Linked DNA regions of Drosophila melanogaster. The protein of the gene in region 4 interacts with the protein of the main gene of each other region in a pairwise test. Each region holds a gene or a part of one and is shown on either strand. Other genes may lie near its edges. The genes, in order: E5, Cpr64Aa, Pgam5 and Sirt2.

What was found.
Region 1: the proteins of Sirt2 (region 4) and E5 interact in a two-hybrid assay, tested with the Drosophila melanogaster proteins (one large-scale study listed by BioGRID).
Region 2: the proteins of Sirt2 (region 4) and Cpr64Aa interact in a two-hybrid assay, tested with the Drosophila melanogaster proteins (one large-scale study listed by BioGRID).
Region 3: the proteins of Sirt2 (region 4) and Pgam5 interact in a two-hybrid assay, tested with the Drosophila melanogaster proteins (one large-scale study listed by BioGRID).

Annotation. Positions count from the first base shown.
Region 1 is NT_033777.3:13,870,424-13,878,883, forward strand, and holds the start of E5 (E5), read right to left. Parts: upstream 4,494-8,460; 5' UTR 4,174-4,493; intron 3,831-4,173; 5' UTR 3,757-3,830; coding exon 2,877-3,756; intron 1-2,876.
Region 2 is NT_037436.4:4,204,885-4,212,095, reverse strand, and holds Cpr64Aa (cuticular protein 64Aa), read left to right. Parts: upstream 1-2,917; 5' UTR 2,918-3,003; coding exon 3,004-3,204; intron 3,205-3,531; coding exon 3,532-3,909; 3' UTR 3,910-4,258; downstream 4,259-7,211. Other genes in the region: Cpr64Ab (cuticular protein 64Ab), read left to right, coding at 624-638, 748-1,095; CG43367 (uncharacterized protein), read right to left, coding at 6,563-6,870.
Region 3 is NC_004354.4:1,868,338-1,875,198, forward strand, and holds Pgam5 (phosphoglycerate mutase 5), read right to left. Parts: upstream 5,229-6,861; 5' UTR 5,194-5,228; coding exon 4,636-5,193; intron 4,570-4,635; coding exon 4,258-4,569; 3' UTR 4,063-4,257; downstream 1-4,062. Other genes in the region: Pex5 (peroxin 5), read right to left, coding at 1-377, 450-587; CG14803 (uncharacterized protein), read left to right, coding at 586-905, 961-1,541, 1,607-4,014; Vps26 (vacuolar protein sorting 26), read left to right, coding at 5,801-5,944, 6,024-6,861. UniProt on the Drosophila melanogaster protein: Displays phosphatase activity for serine/threonine residues, and dephosphorylates and activates Pk92B kinase. Has apparently no phosphoglycerate mutase activity.
Region 4 is NT_033777.3:20,325,728-20,333,852, reverse strand, and holds Sirt2 (sirtuin 2), read right to left. Parts: upstream 5,389-8,125; 5' UTR 5,265-5,388; coding exon 5,180-5,264; intron 5,125-5,179; coding exon 5,033-5,124; intron 4,977-5,032; coding exon 4,880-4,976; intron 4,825-4,879; coding exon 3,938-4,824; 3' UTR 2,938-3,937; downstream 1-2,937. Other genes in the region: CG4360 (uncharacterized protein), read left to right, coding at 6,317-6,980, 7,055-7,537, 7,701-8,125.

The DNA.
Region 1 (8,460 bases), 6.5 Mb from region 4:
CGTATCTGACAGATGCAACTGACTCGGCGGACTGACTGCGTGCCTGGTTTTTGCTATGAACTTGACAAACGATTGCCAGGAGGTAGCATCCAGAGTGATCTAGTTCGGCTTCTTCTTTTTTTTTTATATAGCCCACGATCGCTTGACATTTGTTACATTTGACAGCTAACAATGTAGCTGCAAGATACAAGATACACGACTGTATCTTAGAAGAGGCTGTATAATTGATAATGCCGCCGCTCACAATGGCCACTTAATTATTTTTTCTAGCTCTGCAGCAGCTCTCAATGAAGTGTGTGTGTAGTTTTTCCCACTTTTTCCTTTTTTTCCTCCAGCTTTGTGGACACAAAGGAAACCGCCGTGCGAAAATACGCGCAATTGACAATTAATTGATGTGTCCGCTCTGCTGGCCAAGTTGTTGTTTTTTATGGTTTTTGTTTTTTTTTTTTTGCAGTGGCTCACACCCTTGTCAGCTGTCATTTTTTGTATATATAGAGATTCGAGTGTACCTTATTTTTTAGCCCATGATGGAAGTGCCGGATCGTTTCGTTTCGATTTCGTTTGTTCGACTGTCCTGGCCTTTTTGTGCGCCCTATTATTTATCACTTATGTGCAATTGTGTTTGCTTTCTTTTTTACCGAGTTAGGGCTTAATTTTTATGCTCTCATGATTTTTTCATTAATTTATTGCATTCCTCGCATGTCCCGCGTACGAGGACATTGACTCGGAATCGATAATTGAAATCAAATGAATGACAGACGGGGATGATGTGTTGTGATGATCGATTTGACGGGAATGGCCATTTGCAGTCGGGATGTATGAATGGAATTTTGTGGGTTTGTTGGGATAATGGGTTTGAACAATGTACTACTGAAATGTGCAATTTTATAAATGGGCGAAGTAAAAGGTAAAACACTACTTAAAAACTTGATTTTACAGTTTTATGCTGTGGAGTATAAATACATACATACTTCTTTTTGAAAAATGATTTACATAAGATACCAATAAAATAGAGCAGTGATACTAAGGAATACAACTTAAATATTCTAATGCGTAAATTCGATTTCTAACGATACATATTTATGAGGTATACTAATTGTTAGCTGCTAACTCGTAAGCCTTTAGAATGGGAATCCCGAAGCAGCTTGTCCAATTACAGTGCCCTCTATTTAAGCCCTCCATAATAAGGATCTCAGCCTTGTTAATTTAACCCGTTTTCCCAGAACTTCAACGGCTGCATTAGAGGGCAACACCCAGAAATTGCAGCACGTGCAAGCTGAATTGAGTTACTGACGTATCATCACCGTCGCTATCGCGATGATCCCCATTATCTTACTCCAGATCGGGAAAAAATGGAAGAAAAACAAACCCATGTAACCTGGTATTACTCACACGAGTTACAAAACAAACGGAGATGAAAAACATTTACAATTAATGAAATCGTTATGCGAAACATTGACATTTCACGTTCATAAATCAAGCGAAAATTACAGGCGGCGCGGAGAAAAGTGAGAAAAAAGAGAAGGAGCGGCGGGAAATGGGAAAACAAGTAGAAAGGGAGAAAATAATGAAACGGAGTACAACATAATTAAGGCGTAACGGGGATACATGTACACTTAAGCAGGTGAAAGGCGTGTGAGTGTGCCGAAAATTATTATTATATTTAACCGGCCGAAAAAAAACATGGATACCAACATGGCCTGGAAATTCAAATGGTAATCATGAGAGCAGCGGAATGGTAGAAAAAAGTGGTTAAACCGTAATAAATGACAATGTTTTTGAGATGCGCTTTGCGGTGGCTCTTCGCTTCTATCTGCCAGTTTTTTTTTTTTACCATTCCTCTCGGTTCTTTGCTTGGTTGCCCCAAAACCTCAATTAAAAACGCATTAACATTTCAATGGTTGCACTTTTCGTACGTTACACATACGCCGCATGGGCCCGCCGCATGAGTAACTGGCGCCGTCTGTTGGCCATTAATGGTAATTTCGAGTGAAGAGAAAAAGTATAAATAGAGCAAATAAATGCTAAACACACACTCACACACTTGGCTGGCCATTTAGGTACGCTGCTTGACCTAACGATGTGTGTAATGTTGTTTAAACAATTTAATTAAAATGTAATTTGTTTGGAAATAGTTATCAAAATGGGTTCGGTTCCCTCCACATTCCCCCCTTCCTGTTCGCTCCCATTCTCCGTCCCGCTCCCTCTGATGATGATGAGCCCGATACACGTCTAATTAACTTGTAATAAATGTTTGCCATTTGCTTATTTAACTTTAATTATATGGAGCTGCGCGGCAACAACAGCGATAACTGAATAATTGCTTGATTGGGGTCCTCTCTACTATAATGGTGCTGGGCTTCGAATATGACTTAAGGTGTGGTTTCTTTTTCTCTGTCGCTCGCAACACTCAGCGGCCATTTGAAACGGCTATAATGAATGCGGAAAACTCGTTATAGCGAAAAATAACCAACAAAAGGGGTGGTTGCTATCTCCAGAAGAAGAAACCGACCGTAAACTATCATAATATTCTAATGTTCAAATATGAAAAATATATATGTAACAACTATCTTTCTAATAATCCGTAAAAGAGAGATGTACTCTTATTATCAGAATAGGGTAAATATTAAATTAAATGATATGTATTATTGTTATATAAACTGTTATTAATTTTGCAGTAAATTTATTACAAATAATTGTTAGCTTAGATGATTATGCATAAAAATTATATTTTTCAATTTATAGAAATAATTTTTAGCGGTTTTATATACATATGAAAGTACCGCTTGCTAAACCGGTTAGCTTCTCTGAACTCTGAACTTATTGAAAATATTGTAATAAACAATAGATATATTTAAAACAGTGTGATTACTTACTGCCTGGGAATCGTGGAAAAATGCGTCCGTGTCGGCTGAGCAACCATGGATACAACGGATAGCTATCCCGGATCAGATGCGGCGCACTCCCGAACGGATGGTGTCCGTGGGGCGGAGGATGCCCGGGATGCGGTCCGCCGGGAAAGATTCCAAGTGGAATTTGGCCGGGCGGCAGATGCGGATGTGGACCATGTGGCGGTCCAGTTGGCACGGGCGGAAGTTGCTGTTGTTGCTGCTGCTGTTGCTGCTGGTGATGATGAGCCAGTGCAGCAGCCATTTGGAACTGGGCGGCAAGGAACGGCGGTGGCTGCGACGGCGGGTGGGGCGGACCCGCCATGCGCACCGCCATGGCGTTCGGTGAGGTGCGGTTCCCAATTAAAGCTAGATTTGGCGCCGGCAGAGGCAACGGACGGATGAGGGTTGGAGGATTTCCCGTTCCCGACGATGGATCCCCGGACTTTGCAGTATTCCCGGCCGCTGCCGGATTGCCTCCTGCATTGGGGGGCGATGGCGACCGGCTAACCGGTGATCTCTGAGGACTGCGCGATCGATCCAGCGAATCCCTTCTGCGGCAGTAGATATAGCCCCTGGGCGTCCGGCGCCCACTGTTGTTCGTGTTCGTTGGCGAAGCGGGACTTTCGCTGCGCGGCGGCGGCGAAGATATCACACTGACCCTTAGTGGAGCCGATCTCGTCGAGGATTCGCCCACAATCGAGTCGATGCTGAAGGCCAGCTTGGGCTTGCTGCTCGCGGAGGCGGAAACGGTACTGCTGGCGGAAACGGAAGTCGAGGATGCGGCCACCGAGGAGCTGCTGCTCACAAAAGGACTCGTCGGCGCCATGGGCAGCATGTTGAACGTTTGCCGGCCGCAGGTGACCATTTGGTAGGGGTTTCGTTGATTGGAAAAACAAATGAATCACTTTCCCTCCTCTTAAACTTCCCGATTCGAAGTCTCTGCAAGTCGAAGTAGATTATAAGAACACTTGTAGGCCTTAAATTCCATTTTTTCCATTCCATATTTGACTTTTTTGAAAAAAAAAATTTTGTATTTTCGAACGGGATAAATCAGTAAATAAAAGAATAATGCTCAACTAAAAGTTTTAGGAATAAAATAAAACGGTAAAAATCCTACTAAAATCAAAGGGAATGGAAATTGAAATGGAATTGAACTGAATAGAAACGGAAACGGAAAAAGGGTTGTACTGATCGAAGCTCCCAATAAATGGGTTGGTGCTATGGAAACATGATCGCGTACATCGGTTAATGGTTACTAGATATCAGATAAGCACACACGCACTGTTTTTCCGATCAGATAGCTATAGCTATATAGCTACGTAGCGTTGTATCTGCGATGCTCCAGCGGTTGGCATCCGTCGGCGTGACATTGATAAACTGTAACTGTAACTGGAGCGGCGGCAACGCGGCGATTGGAGCGTGACCGTACCGCTTCGCTGGACGATTGACGGCGGCGATTGATGGTTGGCGATTGACTATTGGCGATTGACGGTGGCGGTGGCGGTATCAGTTAACGGTTAACGGTTATGCCGGCTACCCGGTAACGAAACGATTGCGGTGGCCGCGCTGCGATGATGATGAGCACTGTCAACGCCATTAGCATTATGGAGCGTCTAAAGGCGTCTAATTGTTGGCTCCACTTCGCCGCTCGCAACCTCTGTCTCTCTCTCGCTTTCTCTCTTTCTGTCCTGATTTTTGGCGGGGGCGTCGGCGAATCGCTGCGTGGCTCTCACGCTGAGCGTTTTAGCTCGAGTGTCGCGTTGGAAAAAGCCGCAAAAAGTTTGTGGGGCCAGTTCGAGTGTGCTTCTTCTTCCTTTGCTTGTACTTCCAGCGCAGCAATACTGCTGGCGTCTCGCTCGCACACGTGGCTCGGTGCGCGTGCGCCAAAGCAGCGCAACAATAGTTCAGTGGATATTCCGAAAACCTGCTTGGCTCCAAGTGGAGCCACCTCCTCTCTCGCTCGCTCTCCCGCTCTCTGGGCTTGTTGGTGTGTGGGTGTGTGAGGGGCCCCAATCTCTCTCTTTTTCTCTCTCTCTCTGTCGCTCTCTTGGCCATTTTTCGCACCAGTTTATGACAGCGAAACAAACAATTTGCGCTAAACAAAACAGCATCATTAAAGCGTTTGTGGTTTTAGTGCCAAGCGGGTTGGCCAGTTTGTTGGAGCGTAGGAGGGGGAACGGGGGTGGTGCACCCGAACAGTGGATAGGAAGTAGGTCTTCGATGATTAAAAATAAATATAATAAATATAACATTTAAAATTGAAAAGCGAACTGTGCCCTCTTTTAATTATGCAAATACTAACAATAAAAAAAAATTGAAACTTTATTTAATTGAATTGTATTTATTCATTGAAATATTTAAGGCTTAAACGTTTATCTTTCATCAGTAACCGTTTTTAAATTGTTTTCATGTATTAAATTATTTACTATCTACTGGAAAATCGATATTAAAAAGTGTTCAAATTTGTACATAACTCAAAAGTAGAAAATACGCATTTTTCAAAGGATATCGAGCCGATACCACTGTGCAGTGGAATCAACGTCATCGCTTATATAGCTTAGACGCCCCGTCGTCAGTGCTGGCTATAAACCACTTTCCCTCCCCCCGCCGCTTGGCCATTCTACCATTCTGAATTGGCATCTGCATCATGTTGGCCAAAAGCATTTGGACACGAAAATGGGCGGTAACTTGGTTTCTACACCTTCGGCGAGCTGCAACTGCGCGAATCTCACAGATACAGATACAGCGTGCTGGGAAGGGAACGTATCTGCATCTGTATCTGTGCGTGGTCATCCGAGTATCTGTATACCCATCCCCATCCCCATTCCCATCCCCATCCCTATCCGCATCCTCATCCGCTGGCTGTGAGTTGTGAAAATAAACACCTCGTTAAAGATGCAGGAGGAGGCATAAAACATGCAGCGCCAACTTCGCAGCCTTCTCATAGGTAAATACATGCGATTCTCCTCCTTTTGGCCATGAATGGATATGGATGTTGGCCAGAAAGGAGGCGAGAGTTGGCAAATAAATTGACGTGCGCTTGGCTGGATTTGTATGCATCTAGATAAGGCCGTTGCTTGTCGGTGGGGCAGCAGCTTTGCTGCCGCAGATGCACTCATGTATACACGTATACATATATCTATATCTGTGAGTGTGGCACCTCTGGGTGCGGTAATTGTAATTGGTTTTTACTCTTTCCCATCTCCTTTCCAGCTCCTCTGCCTCACGATTCGGGATAAATCATTTAATTAGTCAGACAATGAGCTGGGACGAGAACTTTATGGGATGCTCCATCACCGCAAAAGGTTATCGATCGGCAATCAATGATTTTGTGGGCGTATTTTTTGGCATTTACCGCACTTGATATATGACCAGAAGGAGGGCCCACAAAAAGATAAAATGCAGCAAATGCCTGCATTATCAGTTCGCGAAACGCGATGCAAGTTCTAGGGCCTTTTTCTCGGTAGATGTAAAATTATATATTTGAGATACATTTGTTTAATTCTTGTGTAACTCAGGTTTTAGTTCGAACAAATACGATAAGCATATCTGTTAAATGAAAATGGATTTTAAAATTAATCAATTTATATGTTACACATCTTTTCGTTGAATTTACTTTGTATAATTCAACAAACATTTACTAACATTATTTACATTAAATAAACATACATAAAGAGAAGAAACAAAGCGCCTAATTTGCTTTACAATTAAGCTTCGGTTTATCCTTTAATGACTGTCCAGTAACAATTATAATGTTCTTCGAATAAGGTTTACTTAGCATTTCAGCAAACTAATTAAAGTCGACTAAAATTAGGTTCTTCCAGTGGAAGCACCTTCTTCCATAGACCACTTCACACTGGTGTTTTTCTGCCCCAGTCTCTCTGCATGTGGAAATGCAATCCACAAGACGTTTCCATGTTCCACAGCCACTGAGCGAGATAAACCAACAACTGGCGTTGATTGGCTGCAAGCAGTATCTGTGTGCGAGAGAACGGGACAACAGTATTAGCAGCTGCTAACAAGGGGTTGGACGCTTTGTTCCGTTGGAGTGAGCGGGATGGGTGTTGGCAGGGGCGATTGTCGAAAGGGGAGGGGGCCACAGCGTATAAATCCACTTCATTTAATAATTGCCAACGAGATGGAGCTCATTATCACGAGTACTTTGCACGGCTTTGCCAGTTTCCAACAAGGGGGGATTTTCACAAGGAGGTGGGTTTTTAACAAGGGGTTTCTTTGTGGGCAGGCTGTACTGTACTGTATATGGTTGGCTGGGTCACCCGGTCTCATTCACACAGGCTAAATATAATGTTACTATCTATACATTTCCACAAGGGCCATTATATATTTAGCATCATCTTAGTTTTTAAAATGTACTATTTGGATTCAGTGTAAAAAGTACTCGAACTTTACGCATCTGGATATCCAAAAGTATTCAAATAATTTATGAAATTGTAAAAAAACATTTATGTTTTAGCATTATTTATTGTCATTTATGGACATATTGCTTTATGGGCATATTTTTACCAGTTTTCCTATCCCCTATTCAACTCGCAATTATTGGTTGGAAATTAATTGTTCTGCGATAACCCTCCTACGCTTGTCCATCTGCCCGATTTATAGATACAGATACAATATCTTAGACATACATGCAGAGTATCTGAGTATCTGTGAGCACCCTCGCCTCGTTAGCGTTTTTATTGGACTCGCAAATGGAAGCCCACGGTGCTGATGAATCCGTTGTTGGGAAATCTGATGTGCGATGATGGCGACGGCTTTTCAGTGTCAATTAAAACAACTTCTCGTGACGATCGAGAAGGGAATGGGGGGCTTAAGTGACAGCTGGGGGTTGGCGACGGAGATGGATGTTTAGCGAATGGATAATGGCCACCAGGGTTGGCCAGCCAGGAGTTTCCACCACCACATCTAGCAGCGAACAGCGCTTCGTGTTGACACAGCTAATTGGCTTTATTTGTTTTAATAATTGAGCATTTTCGGCTGCGGCCATGGGCACTGATTTAATTAAAAATTTCCACGGCCAATCGAAAGGGTTTCCTTCACTCAATCGTGACATTTTGTGTTTGTCCGGCTGAAAAGGAAGCTTAAATAGGGTATAAATAAAGCGGATTTAGTGGGGGTTATTTATTTATCTTCGAAAATAAATGAAAATGAAAGGCCATCACAGGAACTCACATTTAAAACCTAAATTATTTTTGTGCATCCAGGTTTCATTAACTTTTGCAGTAAATAATCCAGTTAAAATAGTATGCGATTTCCGTTTTGGCTAAGCGCTAGACTTAATCAAATGCCAATAAATATTTTGCAACTATTTGGAATGCTTAGTCGCAGATCAGAGGATCGTGGATCAGCAGCGATCGGAAGATCCTCAGCAGAAGATCACGCAAATCCCCGAACTTAAACCAAGGAAAAGCCTGTGGAAATCCGCGGGATCTGGCCGTGGAAATGGTCGGGCATCTTGGCCCGAGGATCGGCGCATTTAATCCAATTATCGATGGCCAGAAAATGCCTCGGGAAGCGGCCGACTCGTCTAAATTGTGGGCGGGTGGCGTGG
Region 2 (7,211 bases), on a different chromosome or scaffold from region 4:
ACATTCCCAATCTCCGATCGAAGGATCGCCACCATAGACTACGTTTAGGGATACCGTTCTGGGGATCTGGGGAACGGCTATCGGCCACTTAGTGAATTAGTAACTGCATTTACTGAATAAAAGTTTCGGTACAAAAAAAAAGATTGAATGAATTGTTATTAGTTGTTCGATGGAACTGATCGGTTGGAAGTGATATTCGAAAAGTTGAAATATTTCTAGGAATGCTCCACATTCCCCTGCTTAACCCAGTTAAACATTGGGGTAGGTCCCGAGCTTCGAGTTAAAGCTCCCAATCTTAGATTCCGATCACGTAGTGCCAACTATATTTACGGTTATCACAATTCATATTGGTGGGGCTTCAATGGAGGGGAGAATTGTGCAAGTTGGGCCATTGGATGGCACGTCCATGGGGGAAACTTTTTGCAGGTGGACCAGGCACAAAAACGGGCCATTACGTCAGCAAATGGAATCGTTTTTGGCAGCGGTTGCCACACGGCGCATGTTATCGCGGAAATGTGGAGGCCCTTTATAACCCCGATCCAATGGCAATCCAAGACAGTTCCGACAGCATTGTCAAGCACAAAGCACCATTGGAAAACCACTATCCACCAGCAAATCTAGTCATGGCCCTGATCAAGGTGAGTTGAGGGAATCCTGGTCAAGGAATGTGATTGAACATACTACTAGGATCTGCACAAGTGTATATCTTGATCATAAATCAATCAATGCACCTTACTTAACCCACAGATCACCCTCATCTGCTGCGCTCTGATCGCCGCCATCGAGTGCGCCCTGCTCCCAGCTGCTGTTCCAGTGGGAGTGCCCCTCAACACGGAGGTGGATCCACATCCGCAGTACGCGTTCGCCTATAATGTGCAGGATGCCCTTACCGGGGACAGCAAGAGCCAGCAGGAGGTGCGGGATGGAGATGTGGTCAAGGGCTCCTACTCGGTGGTCGATGCCGATGGTTCACTGCGCACCGTCTTCTACACCGCCGATCCCATCAACGGTTTCAATGCGGTGGTGCAGCGAGGACCAGTTCCGGTGGCTGCTCGCCCATTGGTGGCTCCAGTGGCTGCTCCAATCTTGGGCTAACTCCACAATCTTTCAGAGCCTTTAACACTGCTTGTAACCTAGCTTTTACATAACTTATTGTCTGCTCCTTAGTCCGTTGTAAAGTCAGTAATCATTAAACAATAAACTCAATAAGCCAAAGAAATACATGAAATCCTTCAATCATATTCAAGGAAAATCCGCAAGTATTCGCTTCTCAAGGCGTTGATTAACTAAAATTAATCAAAAGCTCTACTAAAATTCCGAAACGAGTTTAAATTTACACCTATACATTTTTATTAATTAGTCAGTTGATTAGACAAGCTCAAGGCCCAAAATGCATACTTGCCTAGTTAATGATAATGAACTAAATTAAAAACACACTTAAAAGTAGTGCAAAATAACAAGATATTCAATGGACATTTTTTCAAGATCAAAATTTGCGTGTTAATTATGATGCAAATATCGTCGTTTTGAACTTGAAACTTAGCAGTGTGTTAACTTTTTCAATTACATCATAATTGCGGGTGTCAAGAAATGGAAATGGTTATGTGCTTAATGGAACTAATTACTTGGTGAACATTTTCGTGACTCCATGCCATGTAAAAGTGGTTTTGTAATTTTAAATGTAACAAAATGTAACCAGGAAAAGCCCAATTCGCCAAAGAAAGCTGACCCATTCCACTTACATAAGACCGCAATCTTAGATGGTTATCTCCCCTCCAGCTGTCCCACGCCCAAAGAACTCTTCCACTCCAAATGAATACATTCACTCTCGCTGGCCCAACACGCACTCAAATTATTCAATAGCTTAATTGAAAGTAAAAAATCGGCACGAGATGCAATTTTTGGATTACGCAAACCCCAACCCGAGCATGTCCATAGATGTTGCTGCCGGCGCCGACTGCAACTGCAGCAGTTACTGCAACTGCAACTGCAGCAACGCCTAACAAGCGGCGGTACGCGTTGAAAATTAGTGATAATGGCCAAAATTGTCCCAATGGCAACAGAGCAGCGAAACAGAACCAAATCTATACACTCAAAAAAATACTGCATGACATTCGAAAATCTATAGGATTGAACAGAATATTCTACAATTGATATCCTTTTGTATTGTATATGTTATCCAAGTACTTTTTTCGTAGAGATTTTAATATCACATATCACATTCATTGCGGTTAGAACTTTTTCGTTTTCTCGCAGTGCATTGAATGCGTCTGGCGTAGATTTTTTGGGTGGGCGCGGCTTAGAGCAGCCAGCCAGTTTCGAAGGCTGTGCCCCAAACACACCTTTCAACAATCGACTGCTGGGTGCGTGTGCAGCGTCGCCCCAATCTGGTGGCCATAAAGTCGAGACATGGAGACATGGGAGGCACTGGTGCTCATGCGTCCACCACACCTGATCCGTCCGGCCACCCGGCTTAGGCCCAAATAATTCGCTTTCGAATTGAACTTTTTTGTCACGACAACAACGACGGCGATTCAGCCGGCGTGGGACCAGTTTGCTTTGGTCCAGCACAGTCCTCCCAGACTCCCAGACATGCGTGAACCGCCAAGCACCTCCAGCGCCTTCAGCTCGACCGGCAGCTCCTCCACCTCCGGACAGCCCCTTCTGATTGCCATGGGCAGCGAAAAATGAATTATTTTATATTTGTCGCGATCGATGCGAGCATTTCGCATAGGCACAGGCCGCTACAGACTCCACACGCATGCTCACTTTTTAGTTGTTTATTATTATTTTTTGTGTCTTGCTGCGCTTTTTGCATAAATATCTGGTGGCAGGCGGCGGCGGAGGCTGTGGCGGATTTTTGGGCTCGCGTCTATGTGAGGCCTATAAAAAGCAATTGTCGTGCGGCCACAGAACCACAGATCGAGTTCATTTGTCAGTCGAGCAGCAGTAGACCTCCAGTTCTCCACTACTCCATCGCAAACACCAAGCAATCCGTCCAGAATGGCACAGAAACTGATCCTCGTCCTGAGCGCCCTGGTGGCGGTGTCCTCCGCCGTTGTGGTCCCTGGTCCCGGACTGGCACTGCCCGCCTATCCATCGTACCCGGCGCTGGCCAAGGTGGCTGCTCCTCTGGTGGCCAAGGTGGCGGGTCCGGAGCCATACGATCCCAATCCCCAATACACCTTCAGCTACGATGTTCATGTGAGTCAGCTTCGTAAGAAGTTATTAGTCACCTCATAAAAAGCAATGCCAATTCAGAAATCTGCATTCGAATTTTATTGCTTTATTGAGCAACTGGTATGCAAATTTTGATTTTGCCAGACATTTTTATGAAGTGTTTATGGAAGCTTAGAACTATTAAATCCGACCACTTGGTTGAGCAAGTTGGATGTTGGATATAAAATATTTATAGTTTCCTTGAAATCCTTAGGATATAAGATGCAAAGGATTCGTTTCAAGGCATTTCTTTAAATATAAAGTACCTATTCCTATCCTTTGCTAATCCAACAACTTCCTTCTGCCCACCAGGATGGCTCCACTGGTGACGTGAAGAGCCAGCAGGAGACCCGCAGCGGAGATGTGGTGCAGGGCGCCTATTCACTGATTGAGGCCGACGGAACCCGCCGCATTGTGGAGTACACCGCCGATCCCGTGCACGGATTCAACGCAGTGGTGCGCCGCGAGGGAGCTGTGGTGAAGGCTGTGGCTCCGGTGGCCAAGGTTCTGGCCCCGGCTCCGCTGCTCCATGCCTCTCCTCTGGTGGCCAAGGTGCCCGCCTATGGTCCGGCTCTGGCGCCCGCTTACCCGGCTCTGGCCCACGGATACGGACCGGCTCTGGCTCCCGCCTATGGACCTGCTCTGCCCAAGCTGGCCCTGCCCGCCCTCTCGCCCCTGGGCTACCACTAAGTCAGATGGATGGATATACACCACTCGAATAATGCCGACCTCTTGCCGCAACCGAATAATGGACACATCGCGACCAACTTCTCCTGCCACCTGGGCTCCAGTTAGCCGGAGCTCATGGGCCGATCATAGTCGATAGTAGTTGTAGTATTAGTGGAAATGAAAGCGATTTATCGAAATATGTACATACGAATTCACGGACAGCGGATTCCGATTGCCCAGTCCTTGAGTTACGGATCCAATGTTCCCTCATCTACACTCACACATTCTCGAGACCTTTCATTTATGTTTCTTGTCTTCTTAATCTTAAGGCTGTTTGACCGCGATAAATACTCTATAATCCCCAACTCACAATCCCCGTTTCAATTCTTATTTAATCCGAGCCTGTGCACTCGAGTAGAACTCGCAGAATGAGAAACGAGATTGCAATAAACGAACCGAAGCTATGCAAATGGAAAGTTAATGGAGTATTCTTTTACGGGAAATGAAAATTTGGAAGAAAATTACTCTGATTCTTGAGTTTTAAAACGGAAGCTGATTTCTGTTTAAAGCTATTGCTTGAATATTATATCGAAATATATTACAACCATTGAACATTAGTAGGATTCAAAGACAATTACTATATTTGTAGCTAAATAATTGAAAATATCTTATGTTACATATTTTTTGAATATATAATTTTCAAATAAATCGGTTTCCTTCAAGAACTAAAGAGTTATATTTGAATAATATTATTCAACTAATAGGCAATAACTTGCTTGTGAATTTTTTACGCTTAATAAAAAGTAAAGCATACTAAAGCTATTTAATTCGATTTTAATTGCCAAGATTGCGTTTAATTCTAAATCATTGAATGATAATCGCTGTTATTAGAACCAAAGTGCCATTATTCAGTGGCGGCTTAGACTTTGACACTGGCAACACATGAATTCCATGTTAATTTTGGGACATGTAGTGCACTTGTGTCGCTCACCGCCCGTGAGTGGTTCGACCTTAGAACAGAACAAGCCCCACCTGCGTGGGTCACCCACCGGGCTACCGATGCAGTGCGCCACTGAATGGTGGATAGGCTAATCGCTCAAGGTCGGGCCACGCACCACAGAAAACTGCGTAATTCGAGCGTCAATGCAAAGTGGTCTAAATGAAATTTATGGTCTCAATTGGAGAACAGTCCGTCGCCGATCCGATTGCCAATCGATCCGATCGAGTAATTGGCAACTGGCCACCGGGCACAATGGAGAACTTGGAACTGGAACTGAAACTGGCCGCGCCTCGATCATTGGCTTTGGATCCGGATAATTTGATCCGTCCGAGAACTGACCTCCATCGGAATGGTGCGGAGTGGACCCCACATCGTCTGCACATCTGCAGCGGCGCCTTCAATTATGCGCATATTTGTTATTATTTATGTAAAAATGTATAGATCGCATAATGACTTTTCGTTACATTTGCACTTGCATAATGCGACGGGCCTTTGTTGCAATCGACATTAAACGCTTTTGATGATTTAATAAAATTAAATTGAAATGTTAATCGCGACACGGCATGGGCGGGAAACTGGAGGGGGGTAGCTTCAAAAGACATGGGCGAAAGCGTAAGACAATGGGCGTGCTGCAGCTCCAAGCAACCGGTGCTACAATGGGCACCAAATGCTCGAGGGGCTACCAAAATATCGGGAAAATTTTAGAAAGTATTGCGGAAATACGATGATGCACTATAGTTTTCACATTTCATTAATATCTGCGCATTATACACCTTTAAGTTGAGCAACACTTTAAATTTAGACATTCTTTAACAACTTCTAAAGACAATTGTAGTTAAGAAACTTAAAAATGCCTTATGTAAGCAAGTAAACAAAATATAAGCATATAGACACCTGAGTAGATTGATTTTCAATAAAAAACTATAAAATATTTGCATCATAATAAAGTTTTTATTAATAACGACTAAGTCCTAGACCCCGGCCATATGATAATCTCAAAATCTCGCCACTAATCTCAGATTAGTGAATACGATTTTAATGAGATTTTCAGCCAAAAGTCCGACCATAAATAGCCATCGGATTATCACCGATTTGTGGCATTGTGTTTGACGCATTTCACCCATTGTGTCAGTGGAACTACTAAACGTATTGTGGTTACCACCAGCCGAGTGTGTTGATGATCATGATGACTCCGCTGCAGACTTTAATGATTGAGAGGGATTTGTTTGCATTTGGAAGTGAAATTAACACAGAGCGCGGCGGCTTCTGGCCATGTTTGAGTCTTCGAGTGATTCGAGTGGTGCCTTCAGGTGATTAAGTGATCACGCACACATGTAATGCGAGTATTTATTATAACCATGCACGCTGGCACGCTCGATTACAATTGTCGCCTCAAATGCGAGGCGGGCAATTAAAATGCTGAATTTCGCGTCATTTCATAATGGAATCGGGGCGGGCTTAGTGACGTTTACACAGAGAAAAATCACTGACGTGAAAATGTAAACTAAATATGAGAGTGGATGATACCTAAAACTGGTAATATAGGAGGAAGAACCGGAATTGATATAACATCTTTAGAAGATATTTAACGTTATAACCTTAGAATCCACTTATTAAAATAGGTACTTTTTCTTTCCATGTGATAATAGGTACATATATCAGAGAAGTACTCACCCGGTGTACCATGGTCCGCGTGGGCCGTACAAGAAACGCTTGGCGGTCTTCCAACGCTTCCGTATGTGGCTGTCGATGGTCTTGTGCTGCAGTGCAGCCGCCTGCAGTCGCTGCATCTCCTCCACCTGGCGCACCTTCCACGGCATGTAGATCTTCTGCTGGAAGAGGCGCCTGTTCTCCGCCTGATTGGTGGCCCTCTGCTTGGAGGCAGCCTTGCAGGCCTCGTAGCACTCCGCCCAGAATCGATTGATGGGCTCCCACAGATGTAGTTCGATGTCGCGTTGGTAGCGATCGTACAGAGGCTTCACCTGAAAGTGTGAGAAATTAGAGATTAGTACAGAGAGAGAAACAACCTACAACATCTTGATATCTTAAGCCTTAAGTAAGCAAAACATCCTAATCTTTTAAGCCTTTTATAATTGTGATTAATAGCCAGCTGGTTAAAACATCATATAATAACATTTCATATATAATAGATGAATATGAAACTTAATTTCTTTTTTATAGAAGCTCTTAAGTATCCAGGATCTAATTGAAAGTACCAGTATATATAAGGATTGATTTAATTGATCAATTAGATGAAATCCATTGCAATTGTGGTATTTTCTTTCAGTCTCCACTGTGTGAGTTGAAGATCAAGATTGACGAT
Region 3 (6,861 bases), on a different chromosome or scaffold from region 4:
TGTGCCTGCATGTGGATCATCTTGTTGGGCAGGGCGGGTGCCAGTCCGCGGGCAAAGTCCTGTCCCCACTGCTCCGCCTGCTGAGAGTGCATCTGCTGCTGCGGATTTCCGTGAATATTTATGTCCCGCATCTCCTGGAGCAGAGTGTCCATCTGAAATGACTGCGGTGGGGCAGTGACCTGTCCCAGGAACTCGTTGATCAACTGGTCCTCGGGACGAGCAGCGCGCTCGAAGTGTCGCTGCACATAGCCCTCATCCTTGTGGGCAACATCGCGGGTGAACTGTCCGCCCAGTTGCATGAGAGGATTAACTCCACCGCAGTCGCCCTCGACCAATGGGCGGAAAGACATGGTGTTCGAAGTGGAGATGCTACGTAACTGGGGCAACCAACGATAAGAAAAGGGGCCAAATCAGGTCCAAAACAAAAGTCCAAATGTCACAAAGATTACCTGTTTATCGGCCGTTATCGAAGCTATCGGCTTTGTGACAGTGTTGCACAGCGCTCTAATAATAATAAAATATATCGCCGCGCAAAATCTTATCCGCCAGAGAATTGGTTTCGAACGCCAAATCCCCGACTGCACCATGGACTACGACCTTTTTCAGTCGGATGACGAGGAGATCCTGGCTACCTTCATACAGGCGACACAGAAGCAGGAAACCCTGAGCGCGCAAATAGACGTGGACGATAGCGAAGAGGACCTAGTCGACGGTCTACACTTGCCCGAGTTCAACTGCAGTGGCCGAGACACTCTGAAGAGCCAACTGTGCGAGGGAGGCTTTCTGGGGAATGGCTACGCCCAATTGGATCCGCCCCGCTCTCGCCTGGATTATCTCTGTTTTGACTTTGCTCCGGCTCAATTAGCGGTTGGCGCGGTAAGAAACTACCTGTACGGCGAGGCCTGGTGAGTTTAGAGCTCCCCTGGCAGCTGCCAACAAGTACAACTCTTCCATTCTCAGTAAGAATGTGCAGAAGCTGTTAACCGTCGTGATGGGCCAGCAACACCTGCAGGCCACGGCCGCCTCTATGAACTCTGGTTGGTATAGAGTGCGCCAGCAGGTCACACACTTCTACCATCTGATGCTGCTCCTACGAGGCAATGAGCTGCTGCCTTCACATTTTCTTGATGGGTTTCGACAATTGCTCAACGATCAGCTGGATGCGGATACCTGGAAGGTTTTGTATTTTGCGGAGCACAACAAGGGAAACGACTGCCAGGCGCCGGCGTATCACCTGTATCACGGCGTACTGGAGTGGCGTTTTCTGGACCTGCATATACTGTACGCCTCTGGGAATGATCAAGCGTTCCTAGGGCAGCTGGAGCGCACACTCGACGATCTGATCGTTTGTGCTGGACATCACTACCGCAGCAAACATCGCTCGGAGCTCATCCATTCCTCGCCGTTCATGTGTCGCTGCAACAAGGAGCTGTGGCTGCTGCTGAAACGTCTTATTCCCAAATGGCTGGGAGAACGGGAGCTAGACTTTTGGACTCTATTCCACAAGGCCATGCAGAGGCACAAGTCACTCCACTTCCAGGGTGAGTGCACAAAGAAGCTAGACCGTGCGGCTTCCCCTCATCTTATAGTCGTTTTTCTTCTCGAGGTGAGAGCAATGCAATTTCTCTGGCATACCACGAACTCTATTCCTGGTTGAGGCTAGGACTGGCCCGCTTGGACGAATACAACAGTGAGGGTTGGTACCAGCCGGATCACTCGCCGCTCACTGCGGCACCAGAAAGCTTCCAAACTGCCAGTCTGCTTAAGCAATTTCTGGCGAGCCAGCCGGACGAACAGCAGCGGCGGGTCTACCTAATTCAACTCTCTCCCCTTCAACTGCAGCTGGGCAAGCCGGATACTGATGTCCTGTGCCAGCTGTGGGAGTACTTTCACCGATCCCTCAACTGCAATTTTAGTGTGGGAACTGAGCTAGATCAGCTGCCGCTTACCTGTTCCAATGGGTCGGCCTACGTCGATCGCTACAACAAACTGCTGTCTAAGTCGCATATAGAAGATTTGAATCTGAGCAGTTTCACCATGTACGCGTGGATGCTGGGCAAAACCTTGAAGCTTTTACCATCGCAGGGCAGAAGCAACCAACGTCAGAAACTACTCGGCCGCATATTCAGCAAGTTTAGTGCCGCGAAACTTTTGGCTCTGAATGAGCCTGGTATTCACCATGTGATCGAGCTGTTTCTGTGCCTGCTGCTCTGCCACGAAGATCTCAGCGAGTTGGCGCCCAAGCTGCGCGAAATGTTGCTCTGCCTGGCCCTGGAAAAACTGCCTCCGGTGCGAAGGATTCTCGTGGCCAAGGGACACATGGCCCTGCTGCTTCTGCATGCCCAGCATCGCCTATCTATGGATGACTATGTGAGCAAGCTGCTCAACCAGTTGGCCACCATTCGCAATGATGCAGAGGTGGGCGCCATTTATGTGGGCAGCCTTCAAGCCATCTTTAATCTGGCGGATGACTTCAACCGCGGCGAGCAGCAGCTTCTCGGGCCATGGCTGGCACATTACGTCGAAAAGTGTGGGCAGGCATCGCAGGATCGCGTATGGCAGACGCTTCACAATTTAATCCTCCGTCTCAGCGAGCGGAGAGCTGTGGCTGGCAATGCGAGTGGCATCAAGGAGGCACTTCAACAGCACATAATGCCACTGGTGAGGACCCAATACGTTAGTAGCCATAGCTCATGGCTTCCAAAGCTAGCGGCTAACTTCATCGCCCTGGAGAATAATGGGGACAAACTGCTACTGGGCTTCCTGCAGGGACCAGAACCCATCAATATGGCTGCTTCTGCTCAGTTGTTGCTCCAGGTGTTGGAAGACGGAGGGCGACCTGCCAGCTCCACCATTCTTCAGGTCTGGGTGAAGTCTCTGGTCCTCCTAAACGCACAACACGAATCTGTATTGGCTTTAATGCCCCATGTCACACAGCTAGAGGAGTTCCGACTTCTGGCCATTGATCCCACCTCTTTGGAGGGCGGGCGCGAGCCTCTCTGCGCCTTCTTTGGAGCTCTGGGAAGGCGTGCCCAGCAAGAGGAGGCTGCTGCCCACGTCCGTATGCAGTTGAGCCACAAACTGCATGCCTATGTAAATCATTTCGAGCTATGGCTACCCCCGGATCGAAGCCGATCGGAACTCGGTTCCCGGTTCTACAGCTTCCTAGCCATTGTCATCTATAATTGTTCCACTCTAGCGTACGTGCGATCCAAGCCGAGCTGCTTCTTCCACCTGGCCATGGTGCGGTTCCTGCTCACCACGCAGTTGCAGGCAGGAGTGCCGCCCGAAGGTCGCCTTCCACAAGTGGTTCACAAGATTTTCCCAGTGTTGCTGCAAGGCATTGGTCGACTGCCTTACCGCACGGACGCATACGTGGCCAAGACTTTGGAGCAACTAGTTCAGCACTGGACGCCGCACTTTAGCTTCTCATCCAACGCCAAGCTGGTGGCCCGTCCATATGCCACCCTCCTCCAGGCGGATGTAGATGGAGAGCTGGCGCAGTTTGTGCTTCAGCTCCTCGTTACCCAGTTTTTGGTGGTCCAGCGGCGGAGGGCAGGACAGCATGCGGGCTTGGTGATCACTATAATGCAGCAACTGATAGAGAGCACTGGCAAAGAGCAGGAAGAACAGCTGCTAACCGTTTTGCGCGGCGTGCACATCCCGCTGCTGGAACACGTAATGTTCGTGGACGAAGTGGACCTCAGTCGCAACCAAGTGTTTGGACTTTATAAAGTGCTTATATCGCACGATGCCTACAAGCGATCACAGGCGGTCAGGGATATGTGCTCCAATCACTTGCGATCCCTCGCCGAAAAGCACCTGGCCCACTGCACTTACTTTTACTTCCAGATGCTGATCAACCTGGCAGAGCTGGCGCCGGATCTAGTGGCTCCCATCCTATCCTTTATAAGGGAGCAGGCAGAGCAGGTGGAGCTAAAACGCGGCGCTGGAGAAGATGTGGGCATACGCAAGTGCTTGCAGCGACTCCAAAAGGTCTTGAGCAGGGTTTAGGCTCCTCATGGCTTCTTTTGTACATATAAGGATTCTCAATAAAATGTTAGGCATTCTATAAAATCTTTATTATTTCAGTCGGAAGATTCAATGATTCCTCCTTAAGAGATATACGTTACGGTGCGGCAAAATGTACATGGTGGTTTACACAGTCTCGCGATCTGTGCTCAAGGTCTCAGTTAAAGTGTTGGAAATAAATACATTATGATTGCTTCTCCTTTGGGCAGTTCTATAAACAGACGGCTAAACCACGTTTTTGACGTCGCGCGGTATGCGATTGGTAAGCAGCTCGGCGGGCATAAAGCCGGAGTCGCCCAGGTACTTGATGGACACGTTGCCGGATGGACTGATGGTCAGCCAGGTGATGGAAGCGTGATTAATGTTAATCCGTAGCCAACCCTCGGCGGGGAACTGCAGGGCTCGGCAGACAAAGTAGCGGATCACGTTGCCGTGTCCCACGATCAGGGTATAGCTCTCCTTCTCTTGGTCGGGATAGGCGCGGTGGAAGTATCGGCGAAAGCCGGCCTCTATGCGCGATCCGTCGCGAAGGAACTGCTGCAGTGAAATGAAAGCCGAATATCATGTGGAATACGCACTGGGTTGACCCTTGACTTGACTTACAGATGCCTCCGGCTTCCAGTGGCCGACTGGCGGCTGGGGCGGAATAGGCGCTCCTTCACGCAGGAAGGCACAGTTCACCACTTTCTCTTTTTCGAAATCGATCTGCTTGAGAATAATATCGGAAGTCTCCTGGGCCCGCACCATTGTGGAGGCTACTACCTTGTCCCACTTGATGCCCAGCTCGCAGAGCCGTTTCCCAGTAAACTCCGCCTGCTTGCGGCCGCGCTCCGTGAGATGATGCGTGTCATCCGAGTCACCCACGTCCAGATACTCGCCATGCCGCACTAGGATAATGTGGCGCGCCTTCTTGGCCTTCGCCTTCTCAAGCTCCGCGTTGTAGCGGTTCTCCTCCTCCGGCTGGCTGTTTCGCAGTGGACGCACGAGGGCCCGTGGCTCCCGGCAATCCCAGTTGGTGTCCCAAAGGGCCCACGGATCCACCGGCTTATCACTGTGCGTCCACGAGTTCTGCACGACCGTCTGCGGGTCCCGCAGCCGCTGTAGGTAGTAAGCCGCCAGTCCGGCTCCTGTGCCGCACACGAAGCTAGTCAACTTTCGCATCGTTAGGGCTTTTAGGTATTTTCTTTAATTTTAGTTTTGTTCCGCTGAATAAGTGCGGTATTTAAATACTGCGATTTGGTATTTGACATACTAGGTTAGCGGGTATATAAATACCGCGCAAGACCATTTAGAATTCAACTATCGAAAAGTTACCAAGATGAATCAAAAATACGAAATATATTTACACAATTATTGTATACCAAGAAAATTAAGGATCCACAATCAATTGTTTCGTTAATTATTCCGTATGTGTTTCTTAAAGAAATACCATGCAAATACTGAATACTGAAAAGTACCAGCGCTGGCACTCCTTAATAACAATCAGGTTGACGCGATATGGCAACGCCGTAGTGTGAAAAATTGCAATTTTTTTCATTTCACACACACAGACGCGACAGATACGCCAGCATCGGAACGAAGGACGTAAAAAGGCCGCAGAAAAACGCCTATCAAAGCTGAGGTTTATTGAAGGGGTTATCAGAAAGATATCTCTAGGAAAAGCCGCCAACAGGAGTCACAGCGTCGACATTCCATCGGAGCAGCAAGAAGCAGAGGCGGGGGCAATAAGAAACGGAAGAAGAAGAAGCCGATTCGACGTTTATCAATTATGAATTTCCTGGGATTCGGCCAGTCAGCGGACATTGAGATAGTCTTTGATGGAGCTGAGCACAAGACGGCAGAGGTTAAAGGGGAGGACGGCAAAGTGGAGAAGATGCTGCTATTCTACGACGGGGAGACGGTATCCGGCAAGGTGCGTCGTGGTCAGCATCGGGGGGAGTTCCCCCAAGCATAACCAGAGATAAACCCATATCCACCCCCTTTTCATCCAGGTGAACGTGACCCTCAAGAAGCCGGGCAGCAAGCTGGAGCACCAGGGCATTAAGATCGAATTCATTGGCCAGATCGAACTGTACTACGACCGGGGTAACCACCACGAATTCAAGTGTCTAGCGAAGGCCCTGGCCCGCCCGGGCGATCTCATCCAGAACAACAGCTATCCATTCGATTTCCCCAAAGTGGAGAAGCAATTCGAGGTGTACGCCGGCTCGAACGTGCGGTTGCGGTACTTCCTGCGCGCAACCATCGTCAGGCGGATCAGCGACATAACGAAGGAGGTCGACATCGCCGTGCACACACTGTGCAGCTACCCGGAGATGAACAACCCCATCAAGATGGAGGTAGGCATCGAAGACTGCCTGCACATCGAATTCGAGTATAACAAAAGCAAGTACCACCTGCGGGACACGATTATCGGCAAGATCTACTTCCTGTTGGTGCGCATTAAGATCAAGCACATGGAGATTGCGATCATCAAGAAGGAGAGCACGGGCACGGGCCCCACCATGTTTAACGAAAACGAAACGATTGCCAAGTACGAGATCATGGACGGAGCGCCCGTCAAAGGCGAGAGCATACCCATCCGGGTCTTTCTTGCTGGCTACAATCTCACGCCGACCATGCGGGACATTAACAAGAAGTTCTCAGTCAAGTATTTCCTCAACCTTGTGCTGATGGACACCGAGGACCGGCGCTACTTCAAACAACAGGAGATCACGCTGTGGCGCAAGGCAGACAAACCGCGTTACCATGGCGCTCAGCAGCACCAGCAACAGCAGCACCAACACGTTCCCCTGCACGCTCCGCCGCACCTGGTCAGCGGTCCTGCTG
Region 4 (8,125 bases):
GCCGAGGCGATGGCCAAAACGGGCCAAATGAAAAATTTCAATTAACCACAAAAACCGATGGCCAACCAAATCGAACTGAAAACAAAACGACATGCAAACGAAAAAGCGACCAAAAAATTGAGAAAAGAGAAAAATATTGCCCACTGCCAAACGTTTTGGGTAAATCATTTTCTCTCTTTCTATTTGTTTGAGCCGTTTTTCCTGCCGTTGCAGGGACATCCTGGCCAAATCCTTTTGTCGGAGTGCTCTGTGCGTCCTGGGCCACAATTAAATGCACTCGACAATGCACCTGACGGACCCAAAATCCTGCTCCGACCACATATGTATAGCCCCAGCCCGGTTCGCATTCGTATCCGTTCATTTATTCATTGAAGATTGGCTTTGGCCAATCAATTGGCCATGGACCCGTTTTTGCCGCTGCGCCAAATCAATGCATCCTGCGGTCCCAAAAACCAGCGAAATCAATACGAATTATTTGGTTTTCCAATTCGTTACACTTCATTAATGGCAATCCCTAAACTCGTTTTGTTTTGCCGCCCTCGCTAGGCATTGGTAAGAAATATGATGGCTGCGATTTTGAGTATAATTCTATTTGGCCAACCACTCGATTGGACTCGCATTCTGTTTATTGTTCATCATATCTACATCTATGTGCATCAATTGGCGGATTGTGGGGACCGCAGCGGAAATTTATTTTATACATGCCAGCCCCACCGCAGCTCATTTCGAGCCACGAAAACCGCCAATTTGGATCCGTGCGGCAAGCGGCATTTCAAATCGCACTTTAATATTACATGCGAGTGGATTGGGTGTGCTACACACACACACACACCCAAACAAACCCACCCACGCACTCAATCGTTTTCGTCGAATTGTGTTGACAAAGACTTGAATAAAAATTTATGCGCACAAAAGTATGCCACACAACATGCACATAAAATGATTATGACGATTATGCGAAGCTCCCGGCTACTGCTGCTGATTATTCAGGGATGTTCTATGCGAGCAAACTTCAAACACAGTCCTGGGCACACTTTTTAGAATTGTTGTTCGTACTTTGAACAGAAATATAGGTCCTTACCGTAGCATGGATTAATTTTTTTTTTAAATTAGTTTATATTTAATTAATCCTTTGAATTGGAATATATATACGACGATTGGAATCATTTAAACAAAATATTTTTCACCAAGTCTAAAAAAAAGTTTAGATATATGATTTTTATCAATATTGTTATTTCTTGAAAGTTTTTTAAAGTATTCAGTCGTATATGCCATTTTAATAAGCTTCTGTCCATTTTTGGAATAATAAGCCATTACCAAATAGAAATTTGACTATTTTTAAATTGCGTAGAAAGTTCAGCTTCTAAGAAAACCTATTATTTTGTCGCACGCTGTGCGCAATCCCCTCATAAAAACTCACACGCTTGTACCCACATTTATTGACACAAATTGCGTTTTGAGGACGGCATTTGGCAGCCGCCGTGGCGGTTCCTTCTGCTTTCTTTTTATTAAAGAAATAATAAAATATTCATAAAGATTGCGCTACGATAACCACGCATGTATTTTAGAGTAAACGACCATTAAATATGTTTGTGGCCAGGGCCTAACAATCAATGGCGATCCCAGCTTTATTAGCCCCGTCTGAGTTATTGGCCTTGTTCAAAATGGGTTCTCTGTTTGGGCGCTCAATCAATTCCCGGCCAAGCTGTGCGCCACACAATCATGTTAAGAATTCAATATCAAAGCGCGAGCGCAGCTGCCGCTGATGACATCGTGGAATGTCCACGATTTCATCAACCCCCCGCCTTTCTTACCAAGCCATTGATGAACAGGCTCGCAGCGAGTAGAGGGGGTGGTGATGGTTGAAGCTTGGGTCTGATTCGCAAGCATCGCATTTTGATTACAAATATGAAACATGCTCACTCAAATATGACCTGCCCCCTCCCTCGGTTACCACAAACCCGGCTTCCTCAATGGCGTGTGTATGGAGTGCACTTAATGGCGTTCCGCATTTCTCGCAAGGAGGGGTGAAAGTCAAGTTAATATTGAGCCAACTTGACTCAATTTTGACTGAGTGGGCCGAGACACTGACAAAAAGCTAGAAGAACCTATTTTCTACGTTAGGTCATCTACAAATAATATAAAAAGATGAAAGGTTTTCCAGATAAATATGATTTAATTTAAACATATTAATATAGCTAATGCCATACAAGAGTCATACTTTTTATTGCACAACTAAATATACAATACAATCTTAATTTTATATCACATCCTTGTGAAAAAAGGAATATTATGAAAATTTAATTATTTAAACATTTTCGCGTCAATTGATTAAAAATTACATATAACACTTTATAAGCACAATAGTTAGTGTAAAATCCCAAATAAGAAGACTTTACTCGTTGAGTTTTTGTAAGAAACTGATTTTATTTGGAAATATCTTCGGTTTAAATAGGTGACATGAGAATCGCATCTTAAAGTAAATGGCCTACGCAGAGGCCTAAGTAAATAGTCCCCGCCTTATCGAGGTCCCACGCTCGGGCACATCTGCCTATCTTGAGCGGCGAGGACCTTATCTGTGGTCTCCCACTAAGGGACTATTTTAGGAGGCGGGGAAAGATCTCAAGTGACTGACTCATGTAGTGTGCACTTAAATTACATGTTTTTGAGCAATGCACCCATGTCGCCTTAGATAACAAAATCCTAAATATAATTTATCGCTCTCGATTCATTTACATAAGATATGAACGGAGCCCAAAATTGTAAGTCTTTAAATATATTCGTGTTCATGTGTGAACAGTTAGTCTGAATATTTCTTTTTCGTATTTATTTTTATGTTTCAAACTAATCTTTGTATTGAATAACGTAACGTGATGAGCTAATCGATATTTATTTAACTTTTTCATGCGAACACAAATAATTTTTATTTGTGCAGCAAAACATTCGCTGAGAAGGCAAGACTCGGGAAAATTGCACATAGACAAGATCTTAGGCCATTAGCTTTAATTGCAAAAGTTTTGGGCCAAAAGCAAGTGCAATTCCAATGGCAACAGCAGTGGCAGCTGAAACTGCAACAAATTGCGTGGCTATCAATATTTCCGTGGCTGCATTTGATTTCCTAATGCATCTGCAGCCATTCATGTCCCGAAGTTGACAGGCTGGGATGCCTCCCATCATACCATGCATCCACCTCCGAACCGTCGCCCCTGTCAACGATTAACAATATCCGGTTGTGTACCCCGGCAGTAGCTATCCGCTGGCCCGATTGCGAGCTTGGTTTTAATTAGTCCTGCCCGTACGTATTTTCTATTGGCCAATTCACCGCAGAAGCTTCATTACCGGTCTACCGTGTGTGTCTCTTTCGCTTTGTGCGTGTGTGCTTCTGCAGGACAGATTGCGAGTCATTAAGTTGATGCAGCAGTAGCAGCAGCAGCAGGAGGAGGAGCAGGAGCAGGAGCAGCATCCGTGTAAGCCACACAAACAGGCAGTTAGAATGCCACATGCCACGCCCACAGCAGCGGTCGAGCCATGTCGAGGGGCTGGGCAGCTGTAACTGAATCGAAATCAGCATCAGCACCAACACCAACACCAGCATCGAAATCCATAGCCAAGCCCGGATCAGAGCAGAAAACGAAACAGAAACATGTCGAGAGTTAACCTTTGTTGGCGGTTTGCTGCTTTTTGTGCGCCGGAAACGGCAGAGCAACTCAATCAGTTTTTGCGGTTTATGGTGGCCCGGCCAAAAGGGACACGCTAATGGCTCACAAATGGCACTTGAATAATTGAATGCCGGAAACGGAGGAGAAAGAAAGCTCGCGGTATTAGCCAGCAATGCCTGCGCTTGGCATTGTCCGCTTTATACACGTAATCCACATGTAAACAAATTGCACAATTCAACTACAAATTAACTACGGATGTTACTAACTAATCTTAGGGTCTAAAGCGAAGCATCCTTCTTGTCCCTATCGCCCGAAGTCATCTTATCCGGGTCCGATTGCGGTTTCTCTTTGCCTTGTTGCAGCTCCTCACTATTCTGGCTGCCGCTCAGTTTCTTCCTTTCACTTGTAATTAGCTGCTGCAGCTCTTGGTCCCAGCCCAAGGCTTTGGCCAGAGCCATTACGCCAGCATCACAGTCGCCCAGAAAGGCCACATCCCTAGTGTTATTGGGCTTATCGAAGAGTAGCGATCGCGTGTTGGGATCCATAAAGAGCACACAGCTGGCCTGACCCACTGCATCGCGATTGATCAAGAGGCGAATGCAACGTGGTCCTGGTCTCCACACCAGTGAAGCAAACGGTTGCACTTCCAACGATGTGCCCATGATGATCAGCAGATCGCAATCCTGGAAATCCTCTTCAGGACTGGAGTAAAATCTCTTTGGCAAGTTTTCGCCAAAGAAAACAATGTCTGGTTTAACAACGCCTTGGCACTTTTGGCATTTGGGCAGACGATCGGCGAAGATCTCCGCCTTCATCCAGTCCATGTCGTACTCCTTGCGGCACTTAATGCAGTGGTTGGTGTGGAAGCTGCCATGGGCCTCAATGATCTTGTCCTCGGGCAGGCCAGTAAGCCGGTCTAGCGTGTCTATGTTCTGGGTGTAGTGGCGCTGCAGTAGTCCCTTGTCGTTAAGCAAACGGATAAAGTAGTGGGCCGGCGTGGGAATGAAGGATCCAGGGTAAAGTTCCTTGGCCAGTGCAAAAAACGGCGCTGGATTCTTTTCGAAGTAGTCCAGATCGAATATGGCCGTAGGATGTGGCAGCTCGTACTTCTTCAGATTGCTGTATAACCCGGAACCTGGGGATCTGAAATCCGGAATGCCAGCAGCTAGGAATGGCGATAACTTAGTAAGTTTTTACAATGGTATATAGAATGTACCAACATGTAGATATGCCGGCTCCCACCATGGTCACAATCTTGCGGAAACCATGCACACGCCAATGTTCGGCAAAGCCGTCAAAACTCAAATCTGGAATAACCTGCAAATTTGCGATTTAATCAATATGATAATCAAATTATCGGGTGCTCCGCTCACCTTCTCTACTTTAACTTCCTCCTTTGCGTCCGAGGAGCCGCCGAGATGTAGAGTGTTTGCAAAGAAGCGTCGAACCTTATCCATTGTGTCGTCTAGAATTCAATTCAATTAATGAGTGACAGTAAAGACCTAACTATTTAGACTAGCCTGGGGCCTCCTCGTCGTCGTCACTGGACGAGGAATTGGAGGGCGTCGTCGGTTGTTCCTCCTTCTTTACTTCGATGTCGCCCATGGTAAACAGATTCACCTTCCGGTGAAAGTATGTAAATCTGAGGATAGTGTGATGAATTCTCCCAATTGTTTATGTTGCGTTTTGTTTTAACGTAAAAAGCAAAACAAGTTCTGACAACTATCGATAGGTTTAGGCTAACGAATAAGTTATCTCTAACAGCTATTAAAAAGCTAGAATTTTAATTTCATTGCTTATTGATTTAGATTTTAAAATCAAATTTGTGCGAGCAAACCAAAATATTATAATTACTTTAAGTAGCCTATCAATGAAAGATTTTTATTTAACAGCGATTTATTAAGGGTCGCAAATAAATATGTGTTTGTAACGGTTAGAACATATTATGACTCATTAAACAAAAAGGAACCGAATAATAGAATAACTAAAGCTAAGAAGGGCGCAAAGTTACAAAATCGAGTATAGATAAAATAACAATTACACTTTGTTGATATCTGAATATAAACTAATTGAAAGGTTAAAATCAGCTGAATTGTCAGCACGGAGTGTCCAAATAATCGATAGCTGTTATCGACCCACCCAGTGTTAGGCTCTCTAGCGCCACCAGCCCTGGCCGGCCGATAGTCGATTACTCGATGTTCGGCGGGGGTGCAGCTCTGCCCGTTCGCTCAGCCCTGGAAAACCACGCCAGTCATTTTTGTTTTGATAAGGATACGGATACAAAAAGAGCGTGGCCTGGAAAAACTGCAGAAACGGCGGAGAAAGCGCCCCAAAAGCGAGCGAAAACGGTGGAAACTGATCGTGGGGAAGTGCGCGACAAAGTGGCCGCGGATTCAGGCCCTCCCAATCGCTACGTGGAAGCGTAAGCAGCGTGTTGAAGAAGAGAAGAAGAAGAAGCAGCAGCAGCGCAGCAAAAGTACACAGAAGTGCAAACCAGACGACTGAAATAACAAATCAAAAAAGGCCCCAAAAGGAGCGGCGCAGTGGAAGCAACTGCGGGGGCGGGGAATGGCCGAGGGTCGTCGGTGGCCGCCATTGTGTAACGCCGCCGATGGGCAGACTGTAGATCCACGCTAGGATCATATCTCTCGAATATCATGCATCTGAACCATGCGACAGCCGCCACGGCAGCCATGGCCAACTATCAGCACTACCAACTGCCAGCCTCCCATGGCGGTGGCGGCGGAGGAGGAGGTGGCGGTGGCGGTGGAGGAGGGAGTAATGGTGGATCTGGACCGGGTCCCAACTCGGGACAGCAGCAGCCCACCACACTGGCCAGCCTGCAACAGAGTCCCTTTGCGCTGCATCAACTCACCGCCGTGCAGGCCATCCAGCACCCTACCCACCAAGCCATGCTCCATCCACAGCACCCGCTGGTCCATTTGCTGGACATATCCACTACAACAGCGAACAGTGGCGGAGGAGGCGGGGGCAGCCACACGCCCATTTCTCCTATGAAACAGGAGGTGCAGAGCGTGATTAGCGAGGAGGAGGTGGTGGTGGACGATCCGCGCAAGAAGAAACAGTGCCACGTGTGCAAGAACAAGTTCCGGCAGCTGACCACGTTACGCAACCACATGAAGATCCACACGGACGAGCGGCCCTACAAGTGCAAACACTGCGACAAGGCCTTCCGCCAGATCTCGACGCTAACCAACCACGTGAAAATCCACACCGGAGAAAAGCCGTTCACCTGCAACATCTGCGCCAAGGACTTTCGCCAGCAGAGCACCTTGATCAATCACATCAAGACGCACAAGGGTGAGTGTGTGGTCGCATCGTCCCAATAGACCTTATGACCTAACTCTATTTCTCGCTTCGCTTACGGGCAACAGCGGCGGAGTCCAGCACGCCAACTTCCCTGTTGAACTATCAGCCGCAGACGGGCAGTGGCAAACACCGAAAGTCCCAGATGCACCAGGCCTACCAGCAGCAGCATCAGCGCGTCCAAATCTCAAAGACCTTGTATTCCGGCAGCTACAGCTCGCCGGCGGCCGAGGAGCTGGTGAAGCCGTTCCAGTGTAGCGTTTGCAAGCGCCGCTTCCCGCAGCTGAGCACGCTGCACAACCACGAGCGGACCCACATCGATCCTAAGCCGTACAAGTGCGAAACGTGTGACAAGTCCTTTAGCCAGCTGGCGACGCTGGCCAACCACAAGAAGATCCACACGGGCGACAAGCCGTACACGTGTTCCTACTGCCACATGCAGTTCCGCCAGCAGAGCACCCTTACCAACCACCTCAAGACGCACACGCATCAGATAGCGCCTGGAGGCGTCGGTGGAGCAGGAGGCGGCGGAGGCGCCGTCACAGCCACAGGTGAGCCGCTTGTGTGTTCGCCCTACCAATGAGCCGCTTTCTGTTATCCATGTGTGCATTGATTATTAACGCTCTTCCCTAACGAAGCTTTTATTTAAATCTTGTACGCATGCTAACTTCAACAAATCATCCAACAATCCAACTCCGTACCGTCAATCTGCAGTGGATCACTCAATGCCCGCTCCTCTGGCGCCCGGGACGCAGCAGCTGACCAGTGGCCTGTTGCCGAACAACCTGCACGGTAGCACGGCGAACATCATCCAGCTGGACCACCATCCGCTACTGCATTTCCTCGACGGCAGCACCACGGTCAGCTCGGTAGTGGCCACGGCGGCGGCCAACACCAAGGTGGAGCATTTCCAGGCGGGCGGCTCGCCGTCGGGCCGGATGACCGTAGTGGGCACCATCAACATGCTGAAGGGCGACAATCCGGACCGGCCGTTTGGCTGCAGCGTCTGCCAGCGGTTCTTCTCACAGCAGAGCACCTTGGTAAATCACATCAAGACGCACACCGGAGAGAAGCCCTACAAGTGCAAGATCTGTGAGGTCAACTTCCGGCAGGTGGCCACGCTGAACAACCACATGAAG